Linked DNA regions of Arabidopsis thaliana. The protein of the gene in region 2 interacts with the protein of the main gene of each other region in a pairwise test. Each region holds a gene or a part of one and is shown on either strand. Other genes may lie near its edges.

What was found.
Region 1: the proteins of AT1G68240 (region 2) and HEC3 interact in binary tests that used the Arabidopsis thaliana proteins (3 or more experiments, as listed by UniProt).
Region 3: the proteins of AT1G68240 (region 2) and bHLH121 interact in binary tests that used the Arabidopsis thaliana proteins (3 or more experiments, as listed by UniProt).
Region 4: the proteins of AT1G68240 (region 2) and RHD6 interact in binary tests that used the Arabidopsis thaliana proteins (3 or more experiments, as listed by UniProt).

What each region holds. Positions count from the first base shown.
Region 1 is NC_003076.8:3,022,937-3,030,577, forward strand, and holds HEC3 (basic helix-loop-helix (bHLH) DNA-binding superfamily protein), read right to left. Parts: upstream 4,179-7,641; 5' UTR 4,140-4,178; coding exon 3,465-4,139; 3' UTR 3,173-3,464; downstream 1-3,172. Other genes in the region: HAM2 (histone acetyltransferase of the MYST family 2), read right to left, coding at 1-74, 244-312, 579-788, 873-932, 1,035-1,123, 1,469-1,775. UniProt on the Arabidopsis thaliana protein: Required for the female reproductive tract development and fertility.
Region 2 is NC_003070.9:25,571,899-25,579,935, reverse strand, and holds AT1G68240 (basic helix-loop-helix (bHLH) DNA-binding superfamily protein), read left to right. Parts: upstream 1-3,806; 5' UTR 3,807-3,869; coding exon 3,870-4,100; intron 4,101-4,177; coding exon 4,178-4,246; intron 4,247-4,343; coding exon 4,344-4,409; intron 4,410-4,497; coding exon 4,498-4,650; coding exon of another isoform or gene 4,651-4,656; exon of another isoform or gene 4,657-4,718; coding exon 4,719-4,757; 3' UTR 4,758-5,072; downstream 5,073-8,037. Other genes in the region: AT1G68250 (uncharacterized protein), read left to right, coding at 104-505; AT1G68238 (uncharacterized protein), read right to left, coding at 5,258-5,455; AT1G68230 (Reticulon family protein), read right to left, coding at 6,704-6,873, 7,026-7,095, 7,182-7,311, 7,395-7,581, 7,661-7,751. UniProt on the Arabidopsis thaliana protein: Transcription factor involved in somatic embryogenesis. Acts as a positive regulator of somatic embryo formation. Acts as a positive regulator of ECP63 by targeting its promoter and inducing its expression.
Region 3 is NC_003074.8:6,900,050-6,909,163, reverse strand, and holds bHLH121 (basic helix-loop-helix (bHLH) DNA-binding superfamily protein), read right to left. Parts: upstream 5,408-9,114; 5' UTR 5,323-5,407; coding exon 5,175-5,322; exon of another isoform or gene 4,679-5,174; coding exon of another isoform or gene 4,597-4,678; coding exon 4,489-4,596; intron 4,408-4,488; coding exon 4,280-4,407; intron 4,020-4,279; coding exon 3,558-4,019; intron 3,469-3,557; coding exon 3,301-3,468; 3' UTR 2,957-3,300; downstream 1-2,956. Other genes in the region: AT3G19870 (AP-5 complex subunit beta-like protein), read right to left, coding at 1-64, 256-1,683; AT3G19850 (Phototropic-responsive NPH3 family protein), read left to right, coding at 8,007-8,069, 8,167-9,114.
Region 4 is NC_003070.9:24,791,336-24,799,933, reverse strand, and holds RHD6 (ROOT HAIR DEFECTIVE6), read right to left. Parts: upstream 4,721-8,598; 5' UTR 4,609-4,720; coding exon 4,081-4,608; intron 3,980-4,080; coding exon 3,875-3,979; intron 3,790-3,874; coding exon 3,724-3,789; intron 3,644-3,723; coding exon 3,578-3,643; intron 3,468-3,577; coding exon 3,336-3,467; 3' UTR 2,919-3,335; downstream 1-2,918. Other genes in the region: AT1G66460 (Protein kinase superfamily protein), read left to right, coding at 7,865-8,339, 8,451-8,598. UniProt on the Arabidopsis thaliana protein: Transcription factor that is specifically required for the development of root hairs. Acts with RSL1 to positively regulate root hair development. Acts downstream of genes that regulate epidermal pattern formation, such as GL2.

The DNA.
Region 1 (7,641 bases), on a different chromosome or scaffold from region 2:
GTTTTGTGGTCAAGAAATAACTTTGCCAGGTAGCAGAGATTCTGTGCATAAACCTTGTTCTTTTTGCCATCTACCTGTAAGATGAGAGTACGGTTAGAGAAAAACGTTCCTGCTAATGTAGAACATAACCAGATGAGAGATAAACTAATCAGCATCCATATACGAAAAAAAAAAACATAAGAGAAAGCTAACGATACATCATATCCAGAGCAAGAAGACCAGAGACCTATCTCAGGATATTACCTCAAACATTGACAAGGTACCACTTCGGTAAATTTCATCACCAGGTGGGTGCTTCAGGTCACACTTCCTCTGCAGGAAAAAAGTAAGGAAATTATACAAAAGCTACAAGATAAAATAAAACCATATAAATGCAACTTTAATGAACCGTGAATGTGGATATGCAAGTCAGTGACAATATTCAACAGAATCTGAAAGGTTGGGTACTATCTTCAGCAATGAAACTGGAATGCAAAAACATAGAATACAGATGTGAAACCAGACTATTGAAGCTCGCAATGGAAATGTAATTAAAAAGCATCATAAGACTTCAAAGATAAAGAAAAACAGTTGCTCACCATATGCCTTTGAAGCTGCTCTTTGCGTTTCATGAAGTTCAGGCAAAACTCACAAAAAAAGAGCTTCACACAGTCATTGTATTCTGGCGGAAAAGGGGAGAAGTACCAAGTCTCAATCTCATATTTTCCAAGCTCAATTGTTGATATGTTCTTCACTTTCGTGAACTCTTCATGTTCACGCAAACTTGCTGCATCCAGCTCTTCATGACCCTATAAAAACATTTCGAAACACAGAATACTGAATCAACACAAACCTTACGTTTCCAGGACCCGCCTTATATTGGCATTCATTACCTCTATATGTGTCTCATCGATCTTCCTCTTCTGGTGACGTGTCATCTTCAAGCTTGTTACCTAGAAACCACAGACATAAATCTCTGCTCATTGCTAAACGTATATGAGAAAACTCATGAAATCCACATTATGCAACTAACAATACAAAACTAGAGAACGCACCTTGTCTTCCACTTTTTCATCTACAGCGCACTCTACTGAATCAAGGTCCAGTTGGTCCAGCTGAGTCCATTCATCCAGCCTCCTATTAACTGCAGTTTCGAAAACAAATTACCAAAATCAAACACATTGATGATCATAAGATTTCAAAATCACCAACTTTGTCATCATATTACTCAGCTTAATCACAATAGTATAAATGGTTCAAAATCTTTAGAAGCAAAGTATAATGCAGAATTTGATCTCCTTCTCAAAAATCTCACACAACTTGAAGCCAATTCCAATGATCCAATTGATAAAGTCTTGCAATTTAACTCTTTTTTCTTCCTACATTATAAACCCTTGACTAAATTTCCACCTTTGTGAAGCTCAACAGTACGAATCAACCAAAATTGAAAACCCTACATCAAAACTTGATAAGGAATTAAACGACATACACTCAGTGTAATGAACGTAATACTCGTAATCATTTTGACCGCCGTTATGTATCCGCCGGCGCTCAATTACTTTCACCGGATGGTGTTTCCCGTCTCTCCACCGACACATCACACGAGTACCCACTTCTAGAGGAAGCATCCCCATTTTCCTCTTCTTCGACGGATCCGACTCTATAATAGCTTGATCAGGAGTTAAAGGAGGAGGAGGAGGATGAGACCCATCAACGCCGTTCGTAGCCGGAGGCTTTTGATTCGACGACGGTGGCGGTGCGTTGCCGTTGGTTTCTGTATTCGCTGACGATCCCATTTCTCGGTCGGGTCGGAGATTCCCGGGTGGGCTTTCTTTCTCATACGAGTAAGAGAACTAGAGAGAGAAAAACGGACACTTGAAATAAATCAGGCCCATTAGTAACTTTTCACATAATTGGGCCTATATTTATGGGCCGTTAAAAATATTGATATTTAATGGTGTGAAGTACATACATTTTCACCGGGATCACAGTTTATTCATAAAATTAGAAAGTTGTTTGATCATGTAAGAATTATCTCGAATCACATTGAAATATTTCTGTAGTAAAACGAATTAGATTTGAAAATATATGAATCATACCCATGGCTATTTAGTGACTATTAATGCATTGTTTGAGCTAAATAATTTGGTTAGACGTTAAGTTCTTGCAATTATCTCTAGGATGTGAATGAATGTATAACTATGTGGCAAAAAGAAAGAAAATATATTAAATGATTTCGTTAGCAAAATGGATATAGCTAGGTTTCCATGAATCTCACTGACATTTCATTGTGTCTTTATTAAAACCTATGAATGTGAGGAGACACAAAAGTCAGCGGAAGTATCCATGAGTGAAGTGAACAAGGAGCATAGGTTTCCTTGAATTAACCTCTCTGCTACTTTTCTGAGATTTTCTGACCAACAAGTGTGGAGCAAAGCTCTGGTGGTTTAATGCTTGTTTGTAGTCAAAGGTTTTCTTTTTATTATTGGGAAGGTAAAAAGAGATCTTGCAACTGTTTTAGTTGAACTTCTATTCATTAATTCGAAGACAAAACGAGCAAGTACATTTTCTCTGCACCATCCTCTTTATAATATGTCTCGATATATACTCTCTTTCTGGAGTAGAGTATCTGTATACCTTATCGGTTTGTTGTAATTTGAGATTACTTTATATTACAAAACATCATTTTATGGGATGATTGTCGTAATTTTCATTATGCTAAACGTTACTATAGCTAAACATTTTTCGTTAACATTTTTACAACAAGTATAATCGGATACGTTTAGTCTGTTAGACTTTTTAGTTTTCAGGTGATGTTTAATCGGATACTAACAAGTATAATCTAATAGACTAAACGTACGGATATTATTTTCATAACAACTTTTTTCTTTTTGGATTTTTCGTTGCTAGTTGTGAAGCTATATATTAAAAAAAAAGCCCTAAAGCTTATTGTAATTTAGGAATTCTTAAAGCTTATTCTAATCATAACAAAACGATTTTCAATATGTATAGGTATTAACGTTCAAAGTGAGGTATGTACGTAAAAAGATGAAAATGAAGCAATAGAGTACATTCATATTATATGCTCTAAAATATAGTACTTCACAAATATATGCGTTGTGTGTATACAAAGACAAAAGTCCACAGTAATGATAACACTATTTAAATAGGGTTCTTTGATGGCGTCATGGTTCTTATGCCCGAAAAATGCCCGGCCAAAACTTGTATACAACCAAACTCCAAATCAAGAACTTATTATTATATACGAAATGATAACATAATATTAAATATATGGTGGTACACAACTCAAGCTAACCGTTATGATTATTCCACAACCTTTTCACGGTCAACAACAATATATTATATATCCTAACAAACCCTTATTTCGTATCCATTTTTATTATATATAAACACTTTCCATAATTGCACCATTACTCACACATTATAGCATAATTTAGTTACTACTAATGGAAATGTCATCTTGTCTAGATTAATTCTCCTACTCCTCTTCCCCCACGGCCGAAACTTGGCGGTGGTGGCGGTGAAACCCATGACGTCGTCACCGCCTGAGAAGCTTGATCTTGCGGCGGCGGAGGAGTATATCCGGTATTATTATTGAGTAGCCGGATCTGCCGTTTCAAGAACTTGACATAGCGTATAGCTTCATCGAGCATTGAAGCCGTATCCATTTTAGTGCCACCTGGCACGAGTCTCTGAAGAATTCTGATCCTCTCACTGATTCTCTCACGGCGATGTCTAGCCGCCACACTCTGAGGGTCGTCGGAGATCCTCACGTTACGGCGTTTGGGTTTCTTGACGGTTGCTGGGTCGATGTCAACCGATTGCATGGCTGCGATCTTGTACATCATTTCCTTCATAGCACCGAGTTCCTCTAGAGGTTCTTCTTCGTCTTCGTCGTCTTCTTGATCTCCGGAGAGAAGAGTGGTGGTTGTGAGGGAAGAAGAGAGAGGAGGGAAATGAGAAGAAGAGAAAGGATTGAAGATATGGAGCTGTGTGTACTGGTCCATGGCCATACCGATTGGATCATTATTATGTTGATGATGATGATCATCATTCTTGTTGTTGTTGTTGCTGCTGTTGATGATGTTGTTCCAAGTGTAATTTTGGAAGAGAGATGGGTTCATATTATAATTATTCATAATTTTTGTTTGTTTGGTTCGTAAAAATTTTAATGCTTGAGGCGATGCTTATATGTATATATATATGTGTGTGTGTGAGCATATATATATATTAAAGGAAAAAAAGAAAGGTGATCATATGATGAGGGGTTAGGTTGGTGATGCAATTAAGGATTTTGGTTCGGAGAAAAAATAAAGAATAATTTTATTTATATGTATCTTTTCAATAAGTGGACGTCACTAGTCGTTACCAAAGAAAAAGATTAAATTGTATATAGTTGAATAAGAAGTTTTTTTATGCTCCGAAAATGTTTATAAACGTTGTAGCACTTTTGTATACATATAGTTGGCATAATCGCTTTTTTTTTTTTTTTTTTAATGAGCAGCTCCAGTTGACTAATGAGATAGTTTTGAGTTGGCTAGGGTTTCCCTCTCCCACATTGAGACTTGAATTTAGGGTATATCGAGAAAGTGGCTTTCACCAAAGTAATAAACTAATAACCACTAGCTATAAGAATGTGAATTACTTTATATGAACATGAGTTTCTCTTTGATTCACAAAAGATGTCACCACTTGTGTGCTCTTATTCTGACTTCTCAATTTACAATCCCTTTAATTATCTCCTTCTCTCTTCACAAAACCCATTCACTAAAATAGGAAATCTTGATAAATTTTCTCTCATTCTCTTGTCTCTTCACGAAATAGCACATTTTGTTGATCCTATACTCTTATCCCGATCAACGGTCGTGATTTTCTCTCTCCCCTCGATGGAGTCCAATATTGAATGTAAATTGTGTGTGAAACTCGCAATGTTATATATTATTATAAAACAAATGATCAACTTGCTTTTTTCCACAAAGCTATTCTATAACTTGCGACGTGATTAAAGGTTTATAAGGATAACAAACATCAAATCACTCGCATGGGGACACCTTAGCTTCTTCAACATTTGGGTGTTATCCATGATTGTCATTAATAAGAAAGACGTGTATCATCGTCGTGACTCGTTTATATAAGACGGTGGTGAATATATCATTTTCCATGAAGCAATTTCTGCTTTTTATTAACAAAGTTCACATCTACGTAACAACGTTCTTGTATACAAGTGTATAAAACAAACACAAATCCGTAAAATACACGAAATTTTATGAGACTTCAAAAGAGGCAAATTTATATACGTTGTTTCGATCCGTTTATACAAAAATCAGACGGTTCTGATTTAATGTGACAAGTTTCTTATGTCATATGCCTCAACACAAAAGCAATGTATAAATACACATGTATATGTACATATATGAGATATAAGCGTATATTTTGCACATATGTTATGATTTGGTCTGCATTATAATCATACAAATTGCGCATGCAGGCTGCAATCATGCATTATAGGGTTACTTCTTTGGTATTAATCCATTGTTCACTGTATATTATATTCTTATTAAATCCACCCAACTGCCAACTACATGTATGAACATCTACTTATACACACACAAGTTTTGGAAATTAATTTGATTCGATATAAGTATACACTATATAGTTTTCGCATTTATAGCGGTTTAAAATGAAAACCGCAATTAAAAGAGTAACTGTGTATTTAATATAATAGCTAGCATTCGATCATATTATTAAAGTATATAACAGTCATGAGCAAGACTTATAATATAATATAGTTTAGTTAAAAGAAGTTTTATTTTGCCATGTATTTTATATAATACAAATTCGGATGGATTGGAGCAATGAACAATTTTTTTATTGCCTGATCATAAATTTAGAGTGTTTTTTAATTAAGTCTATTAATATTTTTCATACATGTGAAAGTTAAATGATTCATTTTGGACAGCTAGTTTCTAAATTTCCACAAAAACATGTAAAATAATAGAATATATAAGACACATAAATTTAATTTACTTCTTAAATCTATGATTTCATTTAGAATACATATAGTATTTTATTATTACTTTTTCCTTTTTGGTTGTATGTACATTTCTGCAACTGTGATGTGAAATATCATAATGGTTTATAAAGCTTGTATAATATGTTTCGAAATGTATACCGAGTTGTAATAAACAAAAATTGAATGCAATTGATTTACTAAATCATGTTTTCTTTTAAGCAAATTATCACTAGCTTATCTATTATGATATGGTTTAAACATGTGACAGCTCAAGCGGCCCCCATTTCGTCTGTGTATAAAGTGTAACCGTAAACCCTAACTAGATGAATCTAGTGTAAATGTATATAGTACATATACACGTGAGTGGGTGAAATAACTATGCAACATTTTCCGATGAAGATTGAATCATAAAATCTGACAATCTCCATTATTTTCATCCAAATTATCGCGTACATAAAAAAGCATTAAATAACTATATATATATATAGGCCATACATATATAACTATTTTTTTCAGCAATTGTGCTTCTTCCTCCTTTTTATTAATAGCGATACAATCTTCCGTCTTTGTGCGTTACGATTCCCAAAGAACCACACCCTCATTTCCTCAGAGTCTGGTCTCTTACAGCGACTTCTCTTTTTCTTTCTTTTTTGGATTTCCTCTTTCTGCTTCCACCATGGAGAAGAACAAACAAAGAAAAACTCAGTGTTGTTTCTTTCCAAATTTGAACACTTTGTAATCTAGTGATATCACTTTATCTTACTCCAATTTCACCGGTTAGGTTTGGTCATTAAAAATGATCAAACCAAAAAAGAAAATGTATAAGTAATCACCAGTTCACCACTTGGCTTAATTCATCCAAAAATAAAATTTCAAATTGGCTATATATCAAGTTAAGAAAAATAAAGCTAGACGAAAAAGGTAGGATATATATGCGTTATTGTATTGATTTCTATAACTACGAGGGTAGATTATGTGTTATAATATTAGTAATGATGCTAAGTTTTTTAAAATGGAGTAGCAAAAAAAAAAAACATGTTTATTTTTTCTCTTTCGCGAGAGGATCTAAAAAGTCTACAAAAAAGTGATTACAAGGCATGGGAAGCTGCAGTGAAGAAAAGTGAAGAAGTCTCTTGTTTGGTCCGAAAGTGTTAGTGTTATGGAAAACTCTTTAATGAGTTTTTCACTTTATTTTTCTTTCTCTTTTGTTTTTGAGGGGAAGAATATTACACATATGAAATTGACTTCGAGGGTTTTCATTTTCTTGGATTATTGCAGGTACAAACGTATTTCCAGTATCCATGCATAGACGCATAATGCCGTATTGTAGCTACATACACGAGAAGTAGACAGTAGACTCATTTAACAAAAAACCAAATAGACTCAATCAATTATATGTTTTGATGAATATTTTAACATTCAACGATTAATATATCCACTAATGAACATTCTTTTTTTTCCAACATCCACTGATCAACATTTTGTTCGACGATAAGCATTTTTCTATAAAAAGGAATTCCTTAGCTCAGGTTTATGAGCATGCAGGGTAATTGAATCATCGTGAGTGGGGACAGTGAAAGAACAGTTTTTTTTTTTTTTCAAGTAAAGAACAATTTAGCCAATTTCAG
Region 2 (8,037 bases):
GTCGATAACCCTCTTTCCCGCTCTTGTTTCCTCTCCTATAAATACCTCTTGCAATTGGCACAAACTCTCCATATCACTCTTCAACTAGTTACCTTTCATAAATATGGACAACGATCGAGATACCGTAGAGTTCTGGTCCTCACTTTTCCAATCCTTTGCTGACTCAGAACCTAAAGATAATCCATATCCTGTGGTTAGAAGCCCGATAATGACCATGTCTACACCGATGGCCATTGATGAGCCGGTTGAGCCATGGAAAGTTCTTGAATATGGAGGTAAGGAGGTTCGTCCGATGGCCATTGATGAGCCGGCTGAGCCATGGAAGGCTCTTGAATATGGAGGTAAGGACGTTCGACCGATGGCCATTGATGTGCCGGCTGAGCCATGGAAGGTTGGAGGTAAGGAGGCTCAACCGGCAAATGCTGCAGCCGAAGCTGGATATAAGAACGTTAATACGGATCAAGAGAAATCTACTCAAAAAGCAACGGAAAAGGTAATTATGTAGTTGATTTTCTTAGATATATATATGAGTTTTTTTTTCCGTTTATTTATTTTACATATGAGTTAGGTCTAATACGAACTTTGTTATTATATAGGGTAAGGAGAAGGAAGATGCTGCGAAGGAAGGAAGCAAGAGTCTTGGTAAGAGACCACGTGGTTATGAAGCACGCATTATCAATGACAAGGTGAGGACACGTTTGTTTGTTTAATGCGTGTCTCTCAACGAAAAAGACCACGTTGTTCAACGTTTTTTTCTTTCTTATTTTTTTGGAAAAAGGCTTAATGTTTTGTTATTTTGATTTCAAAATGCAGAGGAGACGCAATGATATTAATAGCAAAATTGAGACGTTGAAGGAGATGACACGTTGTAATGGAAAGGTTCATGCATACCAACTTTTTGCCTCTATTTTTTTCATCTAATTGTTGCAAATACAAATTGATACATGTGTTTAATTATCTTTACTAATCAAAATATTTTGTTCATATACGTATAAACAAGAAGTTTATTCTCCTATTTGTGTTTGAAACTTAACATATGTCCTTAATTAAAAAACTAAATTAGTGGTGTTTTTTTAGGACATCCATTTAACTTGTATCAACAAACGCTAATGAAAAATAAATTTGGGTCTGATATTACTAATACAACTTTTGCTTTGTTTTTAATTTGTTATCCGCATGAACTGTACGTAGAGAAACTTAGACTCGAGCCTTGAGTATATCATCGATAAAATACGGGAGATGAAGCTTTGTGTAGAAGTAAGTAATCTGAATCGTCACATTGTTGTTATCTCACGACATGCATGTATATTTAGGATTTCATATATGTTTTTTTAGTTTCAAATTTTTCTTTTTCATTGGTTTTGTTTAATTCAGTTTATCATATGTTATATGATAGTTAAGTGAATGTCATTTCTTACTTGCTGGATTAGACAAAAGCAGTAATTAAAGAAAACCATTTATCATGACTAAACTCAATATTTAACAATGCAGAGTTATTGGAGAAACTCAATAGGTCTAATGATGCCACCGGGCATGGGGGTGGTGGATATTCCGGCACCATGGGTATATCCTTATAATTATGTCCCTCCAAACTACATGATGTATTACAATCACTTTCCGGCAGCACCGGCACCAGGAGAAACTAGCGGCTACGCCAACCAATTTGTACCCTTTACCACTTATCAGGTTTTGATTTGTTTTCTTCTTCATGTGTTTATATTTTTGTGATTGTTAGTTGTTCTTTATTTATCTGTTCTTTCTTGACAATGAAAAATTTACAGGGAGTCAACAACAATAATCAACCACAGACGACAAAGCCGATGTAAACTACAAGATGCTGTAGTATATAAGACCAGTTCATGTTTTAGTATTAAAGACCGGTTCTCTCAAGTTCTTTAATAATATGGTTTGTTGTTTAATGTAAAGGAGTTGGTCTCCCAAGTTGTATTTGAAACTAGGAGTACTATGTGGCTTGCTCTTTGTTGTACGTTTTCGCACTGTTGTATAGTATACTGTAACGTTGTAACGTTTTACATTGTTTATCGTAAACAACTTATAGTATTTTGGTTGTTTAAATGCAATGTTTTCGTGTTTAGTTCTAGTGCGCAACATCATATATTAATTCACATTAATCACCAAGAAGAATCTAGCTATATTGTGAAACTAAGGATTGTTCCGAACATAAACAAAAAATGTGTTGAAATATATTATATTATATCTAAAATAAAATAAATAATATAAATATTATTATTTTGGCAAAAAAACTATATTAATATTGTTTTAAAGAAAAAAAACTTTGTAGCTAAAATGATAAACATATATAAGTGATTTTTTTTAACTTACATATCTCGTTAACGTTTTTTTGTTTTTTCGTTAACGTTTATAATTTGTAAGAAAGATTTAAAAATGAAATATTTTCATAAATATTTAAATATTAGATATTTGATCCGCGGTTTGGGCCTGTAGAGAATCTTAAATTCATTTTTTTTTTCTGTTTTTATTTTCAATCTTTGAGCAAAACAAATAGTTAATGATGTTATAGATTCAATTGTTTAACAAAAACTAACTTAAGAAATTAATTTAATTGAATGATTTTTTTTATAACTAAATTGAATGATATTGCAAATATCTATTTACAACATTAAATATATTTGTTACTATAATGATGTTAGTGTAAAAAATATATTCATTGTTGCACCCAAAACATTCATAATTAAATGTTAGTTTTAAACTTGGCAATCGAAATTTTATATTATTTTTCTTTCAAATCGCTCATATGATGGCAGGTTAACCAAATATGTTTTGCTTGTCCGTTTTTTTTTTCTATCTGTCTCCAATTGTTCAAATAATATATACGAGATATTGAAGAAATGGTTGAGAGAAAAAAATGAAATGGTTGAGAGAAAAAAATGAAATGGTTGAGGTTTATTTAAGAAGGAGAAGTAACGAGAGTGTGCATGTATCCACAAATAACCCAAATTAAAATAGTACATCTAGCTATAAAAAACGTCCCGTCTCAATGAAGTAATCAGACGACGGTCTTATGTATTTGGGTCGATGGCGAAGCTATTCGATAGAGAGTTCAAGATCTCTGATCAGCACATGTTTATATGAAAGATTTTGGTGCATGACTCCTTAAAATATGTATGAGTATTGAAGAGACACGTAACTCGATAAATATATGCAAACGTACGTTCTAAATATCACATCAGAAGCTAGCTTGCACAGTGTTACAAGCCGGTCAAAACAAATTTCTGACTAGAAACATTTTCTTGCCCTTGCATGGACATGTCCATGCATGTTGTTGATATAATAGAAAGTTTATCTTGTTCTCAATCAAAATAAATAATTCTTAAATATTGAAATATGTCATTTTTGTTCGAACTTGTAATAGGAGTTTTACAGTTCTCTTTTCCAACTAGATAATGTTTTTCCAATTTTAATGCAATTTGTTGTATCCATAGCTAGCTTGAGAAGAAAAATAAAATACTAAAGATTAAGAACTGCCGTTCATGAACAAGAATGACACTATTCCCCTGCCGTTCTTAGAATTTCAAGAAAGAGCAAGAAAGCAAATATAAGAAAACAACAAAAATATATGTTTTCTTCTGTCTAATGGATGTGCGTAAATGTGGAACACATAAATATAATAATATAATGGAAAATGAGTAAATAAATTGTTAGAGAAAACCATGGGACGAAGCAAAATCATCTTCTTTGCTTCCCGCTCAATTGTTGGAACTTTCAAAAGAAGCTTCTTGTATCTCCCCTATATATATATAGCTTATGGCTGAACTAACTAGTTTATCCTTAACCCTCCACTTTTCACTCTTTAACAAACTCAAAATCCTCAATTTAGTCAATCATCAATGGAGAGAAACAACCGCAACGAGGGGACTCACGAAGAAGAGCAATGTTCGCTTTCTGATATTATTTATTCGTTTTGTTCAGAAAATCATAGTGAATTAAACCCTTTGCAAGAGATATTCGGTGTTACCAAAAACAATGATCATGAGAAACACGACGAGGAGCCAGACGAGGAAAGTTACCGTATGGCTAAACGGCAACGTTCCATGGAATATCGTATGATGATGGAGAAGGTGAAGATGACTTAATCTCCTTCTTCTCTTACGTGATTCCCTAGCTAATTTATATTTTTGCTTTCTAAACTTTGTAGAAAAGACGAAAGGAGATCAAAGATAAAGTAGATATTTTGCAGGGGTTGATGCCTAATCATTGCACAAAGGTTAACTATTACTTAATTTACTCCATATTTTTTATATATTAGAGTCTAATACAATATCAAGTTTCGAATATCGAGTTTCTTGTGTGTTTATCTACAGCCGGACCTTGCATCGAAGCTTGAAAACATCATTGAATACATTAAAAGTTTGAAATATCAAGTAGATGTAAGCATTAAACTATATCTAATTTAATTTAGTTACTTGTATCCATTAGAGTATATATGTTCTTATGTGTTATGTGGATGTGGTCCAGGTTATGTCAATGGCATACACAACAACTCCGGTTTACACACCACCATTTTATGCAGCAGCTCAAGCACCATGTATGTCTCCTTGGGGCTATTATACGCCAGGAGTTCCAATGATGCCTCAGCAAAACATGACCTATATCCCGCAATATCCTCAGGTTTGATCAAATTAAAGTTTAATCTGATTCCACAGATTCTGATTTCTGCCATCAATCTTTTATCACAGGTATATGGAACAGTGCCGCCAAATCAAACTCAACCTTAAAACAAGCTCTAGCTATGTGGCTTTTTAAGACCCTCCGGCTTTAGACTCGTTGCTGTTTATATAGACTGTCTTTGTAAACTAAGATATGTACATAGATACATAAATACATACGTAGTTTTATGTATAACTTTTAGTTTGATGCCACAATATGTAAAAACACCTGTTTTTTATGTTCTGTTTTGGTTGAGCATTGTTCCTCTGTTATTTATGTTCTGTTTTGCTCAACCTTTTTCTTTGTTGAATGTAAGTTAAATAAACAACAAAGATGTTATGTTACGTGTAATAGTACGTTTGTACCAAACATTACTACAACCCTAGTTTGATAATTTTTATCTTGAATCATAGAAAACGAACTAGATCACTAAAATGTTAAATTCAAGAAGCAGAATACATTCATTGGCTACAAATTATCTACACACTTTAACTTTTTTTATTAAAGCAAGAAGCCAAAATAGTTTTATCTTTAAATGTTACTAAAGTAAACAAAAAATGCTTCCCGTTTAACCTCCACAACCACCACCGCAGCCAGCGGCGCAACTGGATCCATTGACATCGTCGTTAGTGTGAGGTTTAGAAGCTCGGTCACTGCATGAGAAAATCACGGCTGCTATGACGGAGAAAGCCACAACAGCTGCCCAAATGTAGAGTGAGACTTCACCATTACCCGCCGCTATTACCGCGAGTTCTCCTCTCACCATTGAAAGAGTTTTTGTGCATCGCTTTGTGACAATTGTTGAGACTAGTTGATAAAGAGAGTTGTAATTGGCATATTTTCAAATGTGTGGTTTTGCGTTTTCGAGTCAGAAGTCACCAAAAAAAAGATGCGACGACTCTTTCTTATATATACTGCCCTTTGGTTTAACTCTAGGGTCAGTGGATCACAAGCTAGTAGTTAACCAATTGTGTGTGCGGCCACTTGATTGTCTTAAAAAATAAATTAAAAATTTCTTAGTTAGCAAAAAAACATAACTAAGAGCGAGTTTTTAAAAGTGGTCATAAAGTAGAACAATATAAGAAAGTAGCACTACAAATGACATAATTACATAGATGACTATATTTACATAGATGTCTATTTGGACTTTGAATGTATGGATATACGAAAATATTTTGGAGATTTGTTTTTCTGAAGATTCAAAAAATTGATTAGAAGACTCTGATTAGCAACTTAAAACAATTTGAACTATCTAACAAATAAATGGTAAACAGTTACGGAATAATGCAAAGATGTAAAATAGAGAAGCAGTAAGCAAAAGTGATAAACAAAAATCCAAACAAAAAACCAAGAGGTATATATTAACTTAATTTGGTTTACGGAAAAAAAATACATGAATAGAGACAAGAAAATAGATGAGTCTCGATGAGTCTTTCTAGTAAGAAATCAAGAGCTGATTGCATGTGAAGCAACATCCCTAGTGACCTTGACGAAGCCAAAGAGGTACCTAATATATTTTTATTTTCTTTTATCACCAAAGAGGTGCGAGGTGCCTAATAATGAAACGAATATCTGTTGAATATATCCCTGATATAAAGTTAGACCTCAAAATTGCAAAATTTTAGACTAATAAATCGTTGTAACGTGAGTTATGCTAACTCTTACAAAACTTTCTACTAAGGTTTGAGGAAGATGTAATGGTATCAAAACCCAGTCAAGCTTCGTAGCAGAATGGCAAATATCGAATAACATTTTCATTGCACAAGAATATTTCATAGAGTTTAGAGAAACCAATCATGCTTAAAATAGTGATAGCCAGTAATAACATATTTTAGAAAAGACTATTCTAATCACAACGAGTCACCTTCAATAAAGAACGAAAATCTAATGATCAATACCCATTGAATCCTGAATTCCTTGATGAACAATCATGATTACATGAACAAAGACTTATTTTAAGTTTTAATAATGTGTAACAATATGTGCAGATTTGGAAGATTGATATACATAAAAGTTACATAGTCCTTCTAGTTTTAGCTTGAGCTTTAGGGATCTTGTTAATGACTTTGGAGTTGAATTTGTTTAGGAGCTTCTTCATGTCCCTCCCACTTTTACTTGCTGCATAAGTCAGCTCTTCTTCGTATTGCTCATACAACATCGGTATTGTCTCCAAACCCACAAATACTTCACCAAAACACCAAAAATGTTTGTAATTAAAGCCATACTTAAAAAGAAAGGCTTTTACCAAAAAGAAAGGCTTTTACCAAAAAGAAAAAGTTTTGGAAAATGTAGAGTGTTAATCAGTAAATGTGTTAGATAACCTCATTAAGACTCACCGATGTATAATAGAGTTAGAGAGCTGAAATAGTTTCCAACCACTGATAATATCCATAGGGAAACAACGGCCTAAAACGAAACGAGACACAAGTTATAAAATCAAAACAATCTTGGTATGAAATAATTAAAATGAAATTGTGTGTATTGATTTATACCAGAAAAAGGAGTCTGAAGTCTTTGCCACTTGAAATATCATACAATTTGATGATGAACCAGTTTATCTTGTTGAACAAGAATCTCCAATTCGATTCCGAAATCCTTAGATCATTAATACTCGGAGGTTTACTGCGCAAAATAACATTTCTTGAGAGCTTGGTTGATTGATTCATAAAGAAGTATATCTCAAGTAGTGTTAATGTTTTTCTTACCTCTGGATTAGTTGTGAGGAGCCAATGTAAGACCAAATGAGGAATATGAAAATGAATAGTAAGAGGATCTGGCAGAGGAAAGTGATGAAAGGATATTCAACCACTTCGAACAAGAACCATATCAATGTGAATACCCCCAAGATTGTTCCTGATTCTTTCTTGTTCTTCCAGAACATTATATCAGCAACTACAAGCATTTCAAGAGAAAAATCCTTTAGAAAAAGAACCAAAATTAATGTGAAAACGGAAAGAAAAATATATGTTACATCGTCCTCCTCCTAGATTGTGGTACAAAGATCTTCGTCGTCTCGATGAAGAAGCTCTATGTTCATCCATTTCATATCCAAAAACCGCCATTTTGTTTTGGTTTCAGGTTTTGAAACAACTGTGGCCTTTTTTGTGAGCTAAGGTCTAAGATTCATGGTTTATTATATAGTTCCGAACTTTTAGGATAAGAACGGTTTTGTTCTTGGATTCATAAAGAAGAAAGCGATTTGAGAAAAAACAGGAAAGGTATGGCTTTAGCATATTGCAAAAACTCATCATTTTATTGCTACATGAATAAATTAGTTTTATATCTTGTAGAGAATCTTTCTTAACTTGAGTTAATGATCAAAAATGTATTCCAAAAAGTTATCAACAT
Region 3 (9,114 bases), on a different chromosome or scaffold from region 2:
CAATAAAAGCCACAATAACAGGGACCAAGATTTGAAACTCCAAAGTCATGTCTACCAGCAACCCCTGAATTAAATATAGAAGACAATCAAAACAAATGAAGAGTATATCTGAGAGCAGAATCAGCAAAAGATTGGTTCCTGAACTAAAAGCTAATTAGAACTAAAAAGGGCCACACAGTTCCGTTCCTTCTGAAAACTAGCAAAAGTAAACCATCATCAAGCAAGACCAAGAAGCAAGTAAAGAGAGCTACAGACCTGCACGTTTTGGAAGAGGCTAGACTCCATAAGGATTCTAGTGGTGGAAGGGTCAGAGTCGGAATGTGTAGATGCACATATCAGAAACTTGTGTAAAGTGCGGAATGCTAGTTCAGTTTCTGAGCTCCATGGAGGCAACCATTTGAAATCCGAAACCGATACCAAGCAGTCCTGCAACAAATCCCCAGCAGATTTACTGTTATCACCTCCACTCAAAGCGTTGGAACTCACAGAGCATTGTACCAGCAGATCAAGCTTCAACGCTTTCAAAGCGAGTGGATCAAAAACGACAGGATGAAACTTCTGACCCATCTCAAGAACAGATGTCCTCTTCTCAAGCTCCCCACTCAACATATGCTTATTCAACAAACCCATTAACCAGTGCAGCGCAAGCAAACGGAAAACAAGATAGATCTGAGTCTCCTTTGAAAAGAGCATAAGACGTCTCATGATCTCTTTCTCTTGTCCCTCAAACGCATCAGGGAACCGAGAATACATAAGCAAGACAACATGACAAAGCATTGGATCAAACGAATAAATCATCCCCAAGAACTGAACTTTCAACATAGAAGCCTGTAACTCCAACGCCGATGCAAGTGGCACAACCATACCCATAAATTCCATCATAGCACAAGAAGTAAACAAATACGGAGATTCCAACATAAAAGCCAATGTTCGTCTCAGTTCCTTCTGATCTGGCCCCAACCCTTGACCTTGACTCATAATCGAACTCTCATCACGCATCCAATTAGGAGCATTAAAAGGCACCAAAGGTACAGAGGTACTAAGAAGTGAAACCTTAAGCTTCTGATTAACCACATTGTAGACAATTGTGGTGAACAAGAGAAGATAAGCTTGCACGGCGTGAGTTCTCTCCGCTTGACACAACGACCAAAGATGACCAGCGACATCAGATAACAAACCAGGAAAAGCTTTCTCAAGCTGACGTAAACACTCACAGGCGATAGCACGAGCTTGTCGATCAAATCCGTGGTTAGGACGATTAACGAGCGCAAGAAGCAAATCAACAACTGCTTCAACGTGACCTACAGAGAAAGAATCAATCGATACAAGCACAGACGTGAAAGAGACCATAGCTTGCTCTTTCAATCCTGACGATCCATCAGTTGGAGATTGCACGATCGTCCGGAGAACATCGATGAAGCGATCAAAGGTATCGCTACCACAATTATCAAACAAAATCGGGGAAAATTCATCGAGAAAGACTAGGATTGAGAGCTTCACTGGTGTAGGGAAGTCTTTTTTGAGGAGAGACGAGAGAGCGAAGTCCACCAGAGAATCAATCTGGAAAACGGAAGTGAACCAGTCGCGAGGAGCGCCGGCGTCGCGGAAGTCGTCGATGAGAACGTCCCAATCTTGGATAGAGAGAGGTCTCGCCGGAGTCTTCTCCGGCGTCGTCGTGGTCATTCTCCGATTGAATCTAGGATTTGAATCTGAAGAGGAAAATGAATCAAAGTCATTAGAGAGGAGAAGATAAGACTATCCTCGTCGCCGGCAGTAATACTCCGAGATACAGAACAATTCACCGAAGCTGCTGACTCATTTATCTAATTATTTATTTATGTTCCATATTTTATTTCAATTCTGTCTCTATCTACAATATAATTAGTGTCTTGTAACTTAATTTTTCTTGCTACACCAAAACTCTTTATTCCTTCGAAACCTGGCAGCCTCAGGCACCATCCTGTAAAAATCTTGGATAGTATAACCAGAGGTTGGAGTTGGTTGTTTGTGATCTGCGCTAGAGAATTGCTCTAGCTCATCGAAATGTAAACTTCTTCTTATGTTGCCTTGTGAATCGATAATGGGTTGTGGAATGGATGGGCAAGACTTTTACATCTTATGGTCGTCCTGTGAAACAGAAACGATAGGTCAAATGTCTTTTGGTTTTTAGTTTGTTTTGTCTTTCTCTTCCGTATTTCCTCTCTTTCTTTTGCTCTTCATGGCGTTCGAACTCTCAAAGACCTAGTTAACTTCCATGACATACTAAATACTATGCACAAAGGATATTGGGTATGCCCTATGTTTTGTCTTTAACAATTATTTTATATACATGCAGACTATTATCTAGCGGTCTATGAGATGAGTGGGAACCGTGTCGCAGTCATATTTGACAATACAGGGTATACAACATCAGAGGAAAGCGAAACCAACAGAGCACTCCCACAAACTACATATGCGATGGATAGAGGGTATATTTACTTCATACTGTTCTCTATGGTTGATGTGTAGTCGCTGTATATTCGGAGAAATTTTCCTGTATCTAGACAGTTGACATCATACGAACACGTAGCTAACGTTTAGCACCAGCTTAAATTGAACTTGAACTTAACTACAGTAAAACCTTTACAAATTAATAATGTTGGGATTCTAAAATTTTATTAATTTATAAAGAAATTTTTCATAGTAATTTTTTACTATAAGATTTCTTTCATTATAAAAAATATTTTTTTTATAACTAATTATAAGTAAAAAATAATTCTCATGTCTAAAAAATAACACCAAATTTTTTTTGATACAGTAAAATATTAGAACTAAATTCAAATAAGTACAAATGAGAACTAAATATTAAAAATATATTTCAAAGAAATTTCTTACATATAATATATATATAAATATATATTGTTGATATATCTATATCATTACTAATTTATGATATTAATGAAACCATATATTTATGGTGAAACTATATTTACCGATTTAAATGTAATTCTTTTTGTACAATAGTATAAATAATCTATGATTTTTAAAAAAAAATCAAGATATAAGTTTGTTTAATTTATAGGATTAATAAAATTAGTAGATTTGGACACTGGAAATTACAAATCATCCGAGTTTTAGAACTAAAGCAGACCTATTAAGGATGAAAATCATCTGAGAAATGACTATCCGAGGAAAACGAATGCCACGGTGCATCAAAACACTGCTTTAAACAGCTAAGTGCATTTTGTACTCGCACTATATACAGTACTCATCGAAACGATACTTGGATACTTGAGATGATCAACATCAGATTCTTTCGAATCATTTTGCATCATCAGGTTTTTGGCCACCAGCTACGCTACTGGAAGAACTGTGGTCTCGTACGCTCGGAGAAGATGAACACTTGCTAGAATGAGAGCTTTCTTCTATTGAGTTGTTGTTGTTGTTTCTCTTACATCTCTTTGTCTTCTCTGGCCTTTGCAATGTATCCTTCAAAATACAATTTCGCGAATAACTGTGAAGATAATAAATCCGAAAAAAATTGGAGATCTCTAGCTTCTAGTTTTAAGTCTCTCTACCTTATCAGAAGTAGATCCAGGGGTTTTTAATTCGAGTTGTGTTGCAACTTCGTTGGAGTCCTCTGCTTTCTCAGATCTGCTCTCTCTTGAAACCTTTGCTCTAGGTTCCCGAGAACGGTTACCGGGGTTCTGTGGAATGTGCACGGATTGTTGCTCAACGACTGTATTAGGAGGCATGTAGGGCATGTATGTAGGACATGGAGCTGGGATCATGCTAGGGTTCTGGTTCCCAAAGTATGTGTAAGATGGCATTGATGGATGCATTGGGATTGACCCGGGAGGCATAGCAATAGGCATAGGGTATGGAAAGGAGGGTGGTGGAGCCATCATGACTGTGTGATCCATCGCAGCTCCCCATGGAGACATTGACCTTAATCTCTGCTGGTATTGAAGATTGAGATTCTCTATATCTGATTTCAGCGATGTCTTTTCTTCTCTCAGGTCGTTTTTCTCCTGTGTCAACTACAGAAAGAACCGTTGTTATACAAGTACCAGTAAATTTGTAAGTGTTGCTATTGATGATAACAACAAGTCCTATAAGCAGTTACATTATATAGCCCGTCTGAGTTTGCATCTTACGAAATAGGTGTAGTCACCATATCGTAAAAGCAAAAAGACAATGAGTTATCTATATTGGGATCCCTATCGATATCTTTACGTCATGTAGACTGCTAATTTTTTCTGTTAGGAAAAGCCTGGAGCGTAAGGGATAAGGTACGAACCTCGCGGGACTCATCTGTCAATGCGGTGTACTCAGATTTCAGTTTGTTGACTTCAGATGTGAGCTCTTTCAACAACTGAACAGTATCAGTCAGAATCGTGGCTTTGTCATTCTTGGGTCTCTCTGGATCTGCAAACAGAAGAGCTATGTGAGGATCAAAGTGAGATCATCTGCTGTTTAGAAAAATCCACATAACCATTGAGTCTATACCGAGTACATTTCCCAGTTCAACAAAATGCTCATTCAGTTTTTCCCTCCTCAACTTTTCGCGCCCAGCTTTTTGTGACTTTCTAGCAGAAACGTCCATGACCTCCTCTTCTGCAACCAAAACATCGAATAAACTAAGAAGGTCATATTGCAGTCCCACTCTTAGACATATTTTAGTATCCAATTCCACCATAACAGCACATCGACCACACACACTGTAGCCTCAGAACTAAGCCTTGATTGACTTAACATAATTCTCTTTGAGTCGATAGTCAGGTATCATATGATCCCAGCTCACATACCAGACATAGTTACATACTTAGCAATTGGCATCATGAATTGCAAAGAAGGTTACTAGAGAAGCTAATCTCAAACAGAAAATTCCACATTCTTTTGTACACCTAATTTGGCAATAATAACATCTATCTCTATCAACAAGTTAGAGATTTAAACATCTACGAAAAAATTACTAAACGTTGTTGAAGAAGAACACAGGGAAGGAATTGATTTCCACGACGAACTAACAACACTTTCACGAGCTAGAGAGCTAAGTTCAAACCAATAAAACCCTCAAAATCAAAATAAAAATTCCTTTGATTAAGAGAAGTACCAGATTGTGATCGAAACCCTAAATAGGACGATGAATTCAGGACGATCAAATTGAAGAAAACAATAAGGCAGAGATTCACCGGCGGGAAGAATCGACGGCGACGGAGAGATTCGATGAGCTAAGAGAAGACAAGGTGGTTCGGCGAAGATCGATTCTCGATTCTCTAGCCTCCTCGCTCGCTCTCTCTCTCTGCTCACAAGCATTATTCCATTTTCTCTTATCCCCATTTTTTCAATTATTTTAATTAAAAAAAACAATATTCATTCTATCTACAATTCTGTATTTTTAAAAAAAAACAATTGTGTAGAATTTAATATGTCCAACTTCGCAAAAGCTGGAATTGTTTTTTTCTTTTCACTCCAATTTATGCATTTATCAAAACAGACACTCATTGTTGATTTTAAAAGATTCAATTGTACTTTTTATCCAACACAATTATAAAGTTTGAAAAGTAAGTACGAGATTTTTATTGTGAAACTAAATTAACTCTTTTATATCTTGAATCGAGATGGTGACATAATTGTACCGGACAAAATATCGAAAATTTTAAAAAATATTTTTACATAACCTCGACTATTTTTGTGTAATAATCAAATCATTTAAAATTGTCAAATTATAAAAATAGTTTTCACAAACGTAAGAGATACGTACTTCTAGATATACATACTTTCTGCAAGCTTTTAGTATATTTAGAAATTGTAAAAAAATACGTACTTTATGTTCTTACAACTTGACTGCAAAGTAGGTGTACTTTGACAGTTTCTTCTTCCACTACCCAATTGAATCCATCAACAAATATTTTGGCCAAAATGCACATCAAATTTTAATGTTCGTACCGCGTTTCGAATGATTTGCCGCTCTGTTGTAATATTTGAATTATAATCAGTTCGTTGATGAAGCAAATAAATCATGGTTCTTGAACAGTGTTAGCCGACTAGTTTTTATGTCTTAACCATTTTTTTCTTGCTCTCTAGAGCACTGCTTGAACATTATGATATTGTATAATTTTTGGCATAGAAATGTAAACTTGACAAAATTTTTGATGATTACTTAAGTTTTGGTCTCGAGATTCTAAAGATTTGCACAAAAAAACAAAGGATTGTTCTTCTAAAAGAAAAAGTTAAATCGAAAAGGACACAAAATTTATGTAATTTTATTGTATCCTCTTTTTGGGCTAGCTTTAGTCGATGAGGCCAAATGGGCCTGTTAATTATTTATTTTTACTTTAGTATTTTTTAAGTGGGCTTCTTCCTTTGGGGCTTTACATTTTTGTTGGTCCCTGTAAAATCCTGTTAAAGGGCTTAAATACTAGAGCACAAAAATTTTAAAACAATAAAACCTAAATCCTCTCGTCGCCTTCGTTTCTTCGTCCCACTCCCATCCCATTGATGAACCCTCAGAAGACTTTGCCCTAAACCTCACATACTATTCATAATTTGTATGGATATTAAAATGATATTTTATTTGGAAACTTCATTTTTAATAATAAATAAAAACTATTATCGGAAGTTAGTCATATTTTTTTATTTTGTACTCAAAGAGTCGTAATGTATATCGACATTGGTGTATCTTTTTTTTATAACATTTTTGTTACATATATCGTTTTCAATTACATATATTTTACATGGCTGGATTTGGATAATGATGAAAAGCAAGTAGTCGACTTTATTCACAAACGTTAGAGTCATAAAACCCTACCCGGCCCATTCACATGCAATGAAAGTGAAACTCCCAACTTTACAAGCAACTGATATATAAATATTCTACAAATAAAAAGGGAAGAAAACTCTTGAAATTACATGGAAGTGGAATAATAGTATTACGAATTTATAATGTAATGCCAAGAAAGGGAGAATATTTATAATTCACATAAAAACAAAGGGGGCACATTCATATATACGTTACGTGTGTATAAAACAGCATATAAATACAGAATATATATATTACAACTTGAGTAGCATAGTCCTTGAGCTATTGACAAGTCATAAGTGAGAGTTCATGAAGCATCATTTTCTGTGCTACTGGAAATATATATTTGATATTAGTCGTGACCTATAGTTCACTGTCTAAAATGTAAATCTTATTTGATTTGATGCAATACATTTTTACTTTACCCCAAATAACCTGAATAATGTTGGTCATAATTATGAATTATTCTCAACAAATTGTAAGCTATTTCCCTGCTGTTTGTTTACCCACCTACTGTATTTTTTTTTTCTTCCTCTAACACCAATTTTTATTTTATTTTTTGGCCATCCTGATCAATGAAGCATTAAGGAATCAATCTTTGCACCTGGTTATTTTTAGTAACAACTAACAACGCCTCGTCATATTGATTTGTGCTCTGCACACAAGATTATATGGATTTCAAAATAAACATGCAGTCAATTAATGCAGTTTATATAACTTTTCTTAAGTTCGATGTTAGAAAAAAGGTTTTCTAATGTAAAGAAGTAAACTATGCATGTCAAGCTAATTGCTCCAAAATTAATATCATATAGTACATTTCGATTAAGCAATGAATCTTATTATCTAATACCAAAAAAACTAAACAATAACGAACAATAATTTTTTCATTACAAACGGCAACAAATTATTACATTTTCACTATTTTAGATGGTCTACACACTAGGGTTACAAGTTGGTCCATGCGACCAGTTTATACAATTTTTCGATGACGTTTGTATATAAGTTCCTTTTGCATAAATTTATATGAGTTATAAAGGATGATAAAAGAAAGTGTACATTAGATAATTGAAATAAAGACGCCGAAAAAGAGATATATAAATAGCCGTTTCCATGTGATAACTATTATTGCTCTCTCTCTCTCTCTCCAATCCAAAAGGAAGAACAAGAACAAGAAAGCTCACAAGAAGTTTCATCTTCACCAAATGCAAAAGAAGTTGATACAATGTCTCTTTGCTGTGATCTTCAAATCAATCTCAATAACCAATTTACTTTCTTCGTCAATCAGGTAATAAACCAAATCAAATCTCCACACTAATTCAAACCCTAACTTCCTCTGTTTCCATTTTCTGAATTAAACTCTGTTTCTCTGTTTCTTGGGTTAGGATTTGATCTCAGAGTACTCAGGCTTCTTGAGGAAGATGATAAAACAGAGCAATAAGAAGAAAAAGAATCACAAGAACAGTAGAATCATCATCGAGGTTGAAGATTTTCCAGGTGGGTCAGATGGGTTCGACTTGGTTTTAAGATTCTGTTATGGTGGAGGAATCTCGATAGATGTCTCAAATGTGTCCATTTTGCATTGCTCTTCTGTCTTCCTTGAGATGACAGAGAAACTCTGTTCCTCGAATCTCTTGCTTCGAACAGAGAAGTTTCTAGAAGGAATGTTCTACTGGTCCTGGAACGACATCGTATTGTGTCTCAAGAGCTGCGAGCAAGTGTTCTTACACGCTGATTCTTACGGTCTTGTTGATAAGCTTGTTTTCGGGGTTTTAGCCAAAATCCCTCAGAATTCAGACGTGAGTCATGTCTTTTCATCATCCTCTCCGTCTTCCTCTGCCTCTGCCTCAGCCTCCTCTCAGTCGCCGGAGACGGCAATGATTAGGTCGTATTCAGACAAAAGGTCTACTTCGAGGTCTTTTTCTTGCAGGACAAGTAACGAGTGGTGGTTCGACGATATGTCAATTCTCGGGCCAAAAATCATTGAAAAGCTGATAAATACACTTGGTGCGCATGATAAGAACAATGACAGCTTGGTCCTCACAAAATTTCTTCTCCATTACCTCAAGACAAAGGTCCCAAACAAGTCAACCAACAAGCTCGAGTATTCAGGTTTAGCTGATACAGCGGTTCAAGGAGTGGTTTTCGCAGCGAAAACCGCGTTTTCATGCAGAAAAATGTTCTGGGTTCTGCGAGTTTTATCGGGATTTAGCATAAGTAAAGAATCAAGAATTGGTTTAGAGAGGGTTATAGGAGAAATGCTGGATCAAGCAACACTTGATGATCTTCTGATACCAGCTGGAGGAAAAGGAGAAAAAGGGGTTTACGATGTG
Region 4 (8,598 bases), 780 kb from region 2:
CGTGGATCCTTCTGTATTATTAATCATAATTGTCCATTCAATAAACATACTTTATGATTACAAAAACCAGCCTGCCATTCTCTTAATGACACATTGTATGTGATTCGATATGTAGGATACGACTTGGGGAGGTACAGTTTTCAACTCCTTTCATATAATAACAATAACTATAACTTCTGGTTTTAAAATGTAGCATGTGCATTTTTATCTTAATTTATTTGTATTTTCGTAATTATTTCTTATTTAGTGTTCATAGTAGAAACTAGAGAGGATTGAACTAAGAGTAATATAGAAATATATATATTTTTAAAATTTATTATGGAAGTAGGAAATTTTTGATATTCAAAACAATTTTGAAACCCTAAAACAACTTCTTAAACCCAAGAATTTTTTTTTTCTTGCGAAAGACTTAAATGCATTAAAATGATAAGAAGTCCAATTTTCATAGTAGTAACTTTGAGGGAAAATAAACGTTCGTTATGTAATTAACTTTAAGAAAGGAAGAGAAATTACTCTGCCAATTTTGTTGACATACTCATCGATCGACACCAAACATATATGTAATGAAGCTTCAATAAAGTTCACTGATAAAAAATTAAGACCCTTTTCATTCGAACAAAATGTAACATTTGTATCTAGTCAACCTAATCAATGGCTAACGAAATCATTAACGAGACAACTGTCATGACAACATAGCTTGTCATATTACATGAAATATTGTTAAACTTCATATATCATACTTTTATAAAACGATCATATCGAGTAAAATACTTACTATAATACAACAAAATAATGATTATCGAGTAAACAATGTAAGTAAAACTGTACGCTTAAGTGGCTTGGCATTTATGACTATATTTGACAAATAACATATGAAATTTCGTGTTCTTAATTATGGAGACATCCAAACAATAAAAGAGGGAATTATTAACCATTATACAAGGAGAATCCTCAAAGGAATATCCTCAAATTGATCAATTGATGACGTAGTTAGATTCTTAATGATAAAATAAAATTATTAGTTTAAAAAAAATAAAATTATTAATAGTAATTGGATTTTTGTAATCGTATATGTATCAGTACGAATTTAGGGCCAGAGTCAATAAGCTCAAGCTCTATAGAAACAAAAAATTATCACAATAATCATCCATTGTCCATCCTCTTTTAAAGAAACAAAAGTAGCTTACCATTAAATGCATTTAAGTTACGGCCAGAGTCAATAAGCTCAAGCTCTTGAAAAAAAAATGTCTAGCAGTTTTTTCGGTATCCACCTTCCACATTTGTGTTGTGACAGTGAAGATTGCAATATTAAAATTGGTTGAAATATCCAGTAAGAATGAAAAAATATTCACATAAATAGTTGAGTTTTTAATGTTTTAAAAAGAAAATGATAACAGAGATTTAAAAGAAAAATATAGATCATGTTTTTTTTTCTTGAAACCAACATTGATCATTTTAAAAATCATAAATAGGTAAATATTTTGATTAAGAAAAATATAAATTGGTAATAAGTTTTTTTATAGAGATTTTTATTACGGAAAGAAATACCAGACCAACACTAAAGCTTATTTTGTATAGCATTCATGGTTTGAGCGTGTTATTATTACAACTAATCCAATATAATTTAGGGATGGTTTGGATTATTTTTTGAATGATTTTAGGTTTTATATCTTTGTTTTATGATTCTTAAAGTTTTGGAACGAATTACAATTACCAGTGAGTGACTACAATTGACGGTTATATGTAGTTAATACTTCTTTTAGTTTCTTTTTGGCAAAGTTAATACTTCTTTTCAAAATTATATTTTTAATGTCAAATTGTCAATTGTTTTTCCTTTCATGTGCATATACATTTATTTTAACCTAACTTAAGTAAATGATTTAGAAAATAACATTTAAAAGGTAATAAAATTGATTTTTTTCTGTTTCTATAAATAAACTCAAGTGTAATATAATACAATAAGACTAATATTTTACAAAACTTCTGAAAACAAATCGAATTGAAATTTTGATATTTCGTTTCAATTCATTCATTTGTTTACATAATGCCAGTCTAGTAAGATAAATATGGAATCATGTAATGGATTATAAAATAAATAGATTATTGGACTTCTTAATAACTTCGTTTGTCTTATTGACTTGATGGAGCTCGTAAGTACATAAATACAAGTACAGCGCCTAAAGTGGGATTATCCATGTGGCTAATCATGTAGTTAATTAATTTAATAATTTTGGACATACATTTGAATATCAATTCAAATGAAAACAATGTATAAATTAATAAGAACACGTATCCCTAATCTTTCCCAAAGGACACATGCTGACATGGGCTGATAAATCGAGATCTTAGGTATGTCGTCCAATCAATTAATATAATCTCATACTTAATTTGAGAAATAATTTTATACGATAAAGGTGCTGATGTGTATCAGTGTATGGTTATCCTACAATTAATTGATAAAAAAAATATATGCTATTCATCACTGATTTTAAGATTTCTCAACTTTTGGTTGAATACTTATTTACCTACATATAAAAATGTTTATATTTTCGAAAATACATATTTTAGTGTACCAAAATTATATCATAAAATGTTTTAGCCAAGCAAACTAGGTTAACATTATGTTTTGATCATTCATACAGAGAATGTGAAAATGTTTTGCACAGAAGAACTCGTCGTCCTAGAGCAATTATAAATAAAAAAATGGTCTATTTTGGTAATAGAAATTCATAGTTTATCTTTTTTTTCAAAAAATACTATGCATTGCAATCTATATAGAGACCCTATAATATGTGTGACAAACTTTTGACGAATTTTAAATAAATAAGCATGTCGCTCAAGAGCTAGCTTTAATAAAGCCAAGCTCAAATAGACAAAGAAAGATGACAAAAAGATAGATTCTCTGAAACTGAAACCTCAAGGAAAAAACAAAAGTGAAGAATTTTATTACTCATTTCTTGGAGTTTAAATAAAAGATCTGTATTCCGTAGACTAAAACACACAAAATACAATTAAAACAGAAAAAGAAATTGAAAAACATATTTATGTTTTTAACACTTATTTACTAGTTAAAGATTCCATCCCCGTGTGGACCCATATCAGACTGATCATCGGTGAATTCAATGTCTCTTGTCTTCTCTTCGTTATAGATGCATTAAGAACTTCTCGATTTTCACATAATCTAACGTTACATAATCTCGATTGTCTTCTCTTTGGATCATATTTCAAAATTTACGTGGGATTTATAATCGAGAGAATCATTGTTTCCCCCGATATTATTACAACGTACGTAATTAATGTTTGATAAACTGATTTATTAATGATAAAACCCTTCATTAATTGGTGATCAGATTCGAATTCCTGTCTCGTTGTGATGAGGAGAGAATGGCATCAATGGCGTCTTTAACTTGAGAAATGTCAGGAGCTTTTCCTCCTTGAGCCGGCCAAAACTCATCGGTCGCTAATACCTAACAAACAATAGATTATATCAATACGTGTTACGTAATAATTCGATAAATATGGTAATTAAATCAATCCTGAAAATTAATTTGAGGGATGTTTGTCATAACTAATATACCTTAACTTGTACTTGAAGGAACTTGACATAACTAATAGCCTTTTCAAGCATTGTCACCAAATCAACCTGTGAAACATAACAAATATTATTATCATGAGAATAAGTAATATAATAAATCTGTCATAAATGGTTATATGGATGTGTACCTTGGTGCCATTGGGAACAAGTTCTTGCAATATCTTGAGACGTTCACTTATCCTTTCTCTTCGATTCTGAACAAAATAAAACATATGTAAATATGTGTTGAGAGATTGAGTTTTATTTTAATGAATGTAAATTAATGTCAAGAAAGCAAACCTTGGCTGCTAGGCTTTGTGGATCTTTAGGTGAAGTTGTTGGCTTAGGCTTGGTCTTTCCGGTCACACCGCTACTCAGTTTCTTCGACGGTTGAGTGCTCTCTCCCTATATATCCATAATTCAAATTGATAGTAGTATATATCAACGATCTTTCATTGACATCTTATATGAAAAATATTCACCAAGACTTTGTTGTTTGTAATTACCGTGTGAGAACGTTTGTTTCCAGCGGATTTAGGCGAAAGAGACTCGTTTCTAGAACCAGTGGTTACAACAGTTGAATCAGAATATAACCAGTCTTTCTGGCCTTGGGGAGTTTCGGTGGATCTAGGGCTAATAATATCCATATGATGTTGATGATTCCAGTTTGTGAAGCCGTAGCTCATGTTGTTGCCCTCCAAGAAGGAGAAGCCGCCCCCACCGCTACTACCACCACAGCTTATGGCTGGAGGAGGAAAGCTCTCGTGATGATCAAAGTTAAGAAATGATGATCCGTTGAAATCCATCAAAGAGTTGTGATGATCTTCACCGGATGGGTAAAATACAAACCCCTGATGTTGTTGATGATCTGAATTCATCGTGCTACTGCTCGAAGCCGAGCCTCCTCCTCCTCCTCCACCGGCATAAGCTGCATCTGGCTGATCCAGTCCCGGCGAGGAGAGATCTTCGGAAGAGGAGGAATTTTGTTTTGACAAGTAATTGGTCTCGTTGGGATGGTCATTAACGAGTGCCATTAGACACTAATAAGTTTGATAAGTGATTTTTTGTTTAGGGTTTTTGTGTGTCTTGTTGACGAAAAGTGGCTTTAAGGTTGTCTATTGGTAAGCAAAGAGAGACAATGTGTTTGTGTAGTTATGTTATGATAAAGGTTTATATAAGTGGTTTATGTCTAATATTTTATTTAAGCTAGTGACGTATTCTTAAGATTTTTTTTTAATTTATTGAGTTTGATTAAACTGATTAGAAAAAGAAGCTGGCATTAGATCAAATTCAATATTTTACGTCATTTTTTAAACTCTTATCAGTTTGAAGCTTCGAAGTTATGAATGCATAGAATTCTAGCTAGACATATGTTATTTTTTGTACATTTCCTTAACTGGGAATATTGGACTAGCATGCCTAAAACGTATGGTTACTAAAAATGCTTGTATTTGTTTTGTTTTTTTGTAGTCATTGTCTCCTTGTAATGTTGTTAGTAACAACTTGTTACTCTGCCTATGGACACTCATATTTCTTAGTTCTTTCAAGATAATGACATCCATTTTACTCCGATGTTCATCGACAGACACTACACAACATTTTTTTTTTTTTTTTTAATGTGATACTTGAAGATAATGACAATCACTTTTCTACTAGATGAATAGTTCTAATAAACACAACCTTACATGTTTTCTGATACTTTTTAGATCCTCTTTAAAAAGATAGCTAAAATTTTGGTATTCTAACTTTTAAATTTTACATATTTATGATACTTCCACATATTCTTTCATTTCGTACTAACTGCACTGGTTCCATTATTTGCTTCTATCCCACTATTTTCTCACAGTTAAATTTGTTCCATTTTTTTTTTTTTTGGACAAAAAATTTGTTCCATTGTTATTATTTGAAACCTTACTCTATACAATAGTTCTTAACCAAAAAAAAGTTGTATGTTTAATATATCGTAAAATCTACTACATTTTTATTTAACCAATAAAACATATTCACATTATTATTTTATTTTTAATTTTCAATTAACTGAATGGATAAATATAAATATGAAAAATGTAAATTAAGTATTAATTAATTATAAATTTCGATATTTATTGAAAATTGTAGTAAGAATACTGAGTTTTCATTAGTTCTTTTTCACTTTTAATTTGTTAAACTCAAATGAACCCAAATTAAGGTATTTTTTTTTTTAAAAAAAGAATATTGTAAAAGATTGTCTATAGACAGAATTATCTTTTATGGTATTTAATCAATTGAATCGAGTCGGTACCATATATGTTATATAAAAAATACTCCAAACATAGACCACTAATACTGGTGAGGAAAAATTATATAAGTTATTTGTATTGTATATAATTTTAGCAACTAATGTGGCACTGTAAAACCACATGATCAACAATGTAAATAATAAGAACTCATTTTAAAAAATGGCATAGAAAAAATCTTGACGTCGGGGAAAAATATGGATCGCATATCAAATACATCATTATCTTTTTGGAGTGATAAAAAAAATGAATGAACGTAAATTAAAGTGTTGTATTACAATATTTATGAGTAATTGTTGTATTACAATATTTATGAGTAATTCATCGGGATTGTTAGCTGGCAGTAAGGTGAAATTAATGGACTGAGACTTTATAACCCCAAAAATAGTTTATTAATTAAGAGAAGCGAAAAACATAGAAGCAAAATCATCGCCGTATCTTCCGCTAATCTACACGTCTTTTTGATTCCCATATATATGATCGATTCTAATATATATCAATTCTTTCGATGATTCATTTTCATTGTTTATTTTGTTTCGATGATTCATTTTTCCTAAGAACCTGCTTCTTACTTTCATTTCTTTAGCCGACACGTCGACTTATAAGTAATATACTCCATAATATAGTTGTTTTAGGCTAACTTGTTTTATTTATTTTATCTTCGTTAATATCTTTGTATATAATCTTTTTTTTTTGTTGAAGTTTTGGACATTCGGCCCATTCTTTGGGTTTAGAGACCAAAACATGCTAAAACCTTTTTTTTTTTGGTAGAAATAAAATTCAAACTAGTTCGATACTAATTTATGTTTTGTACAATCCGTCTTTATTGAAATAACGTTCTTTTTTATTCCTTTTTTAAATCATTTTGAGGATTTTTTTCGACAAAAAAAAGTTAGGATTTTTTTTGCTTTCAAATAAAACATTCACACCTTATCAAACCAGTTAACATTTACTCATTTTTGATGGGCCGAGCGAGTAAAGTGGGAGCAAAGCCCACGCCCAACATTATTGTGAAATAAATTATTGATGAAACTGTGAAAATAATATAATCATATAAGTTAGTAAGATAAAAATCTAGAATTTAGAGAATCGAAATCATTTAATGAAATTATCTAACAAAAAATATTATATATTGTATTATCCATCATCGAAATTGTTAGTAACAGATAATATTGTTTACAAACACACTAACTTTAAATATGGACCAAGACCATGATCCAAGTAAATAGCCATACGATTATATATGTTAACCATCTAGAGAGAATGATCCCTCATTACTTTATAAGAAACACATCCGACAGCTAATTTAACCAGTTTGTGAACGACGACACATATATACTAAGAAACATTACCGGGAAAAAAACAAAGAGATATAATACTTGGACACTCTAGTCAACACAATGTGTAGATAACTAAAGCAGCTGGTCTTTCTAATCCATTTTTAGATAAATTATTCTTTACTTCAAAAAGTAAAATATCTTAACTCTACTTATATAAGCCTTTTGGTATATCTTTCACTATCGATTCCTCTAAATATCTATAGATATTACTATGGTGTATAATAGCTATGAAAATCATTTACTTCTCACATAAATAGAGAAATATAGAACCATCAGATGGAAACATACATCAACATCTCCAATTTCTTTCACACAAAATAAACTTATTTTGTGGTCATGGGCTTTGGTCTTGTCCCTCTTTGAGCATTTAACAACAACTTTACCAACTAATCTTCTTATATTAAATATGAATTAATCGCTCTAACAATATTTCAAATAATTAATTATAATTATATCCTCCAACTGTTATCCTAACAATAATTCAAAAATAATTAATTAATTCACAATTATTTCCCCCCTCCTCTGTTTTCTTTTTCTTGCTCAACAATACATTGACGGTTTTAGTTCATGTTCTTTGAGTTTTAAAATACACTTTTCCAAAATTGAAAGAGAATTGTTGTTGTCACTTTCCCTCTTACCTTTCTTTTTCTTTAGATATCTTCAGAGAAGAAAGAATGGGGTTATATGTTCATCAACGAAACCCAAATACAAATCCTCAGGACAACAATCTAGAAATAAAAACTCATTTGAAAAAAATGATTCTTGATTTGGGTTTTCCTTGTTTTGTTCCTCCTCGAACCAGCTCTCGTGAGGACAACAAAGCTTGGCTTCTGGCTGAAACAGAGCCGAAGCTTATTGACTCAGAACAACATTCGTTGCAGTCTTCGTTTAGGTTTAGTCTTTGCTCACAGTTGGAGCTGGAGAAGATTAAAAAGGAGAAACCTTCGTTGTCTTATCGGAATTTTCCAGTGTCTGAAGGATCAGAGACGGTTCTGCTAGTGAATCTGGAGAATGAGACAGGAGAATTGACAGGTGAGATGAATTGGTCGAGAGGCCTTTCACTGGAGAAGAGTATTTCTCCGGTGGCCGATTCTTTGATCCGATTCAGTTACCGCGAACTCCTCACTGCCACGCGCAATTTCTCAAAACGTAAACCCTAAAACACCCTCAAAATGTCCTGTTATTGTTCTTATTTTTTTTGTACTTTGATATGTTAGATCTTTGAATTGTATTTGAGGAAGATGTGTTGAAATTGGTTAGGGAGGGTTTTGGGAAGAGGAGCTTGTAGCTATGTTTTTAAGGGAAGAATCGGGATTTGGCGTAAAGCCGTGGCCATCAAAAGACTTGATAAAAAAGATAAAGAATCTCCAAAGTCGTTTTGCAGAGAGTTGATGATTGCAAGCTCTCT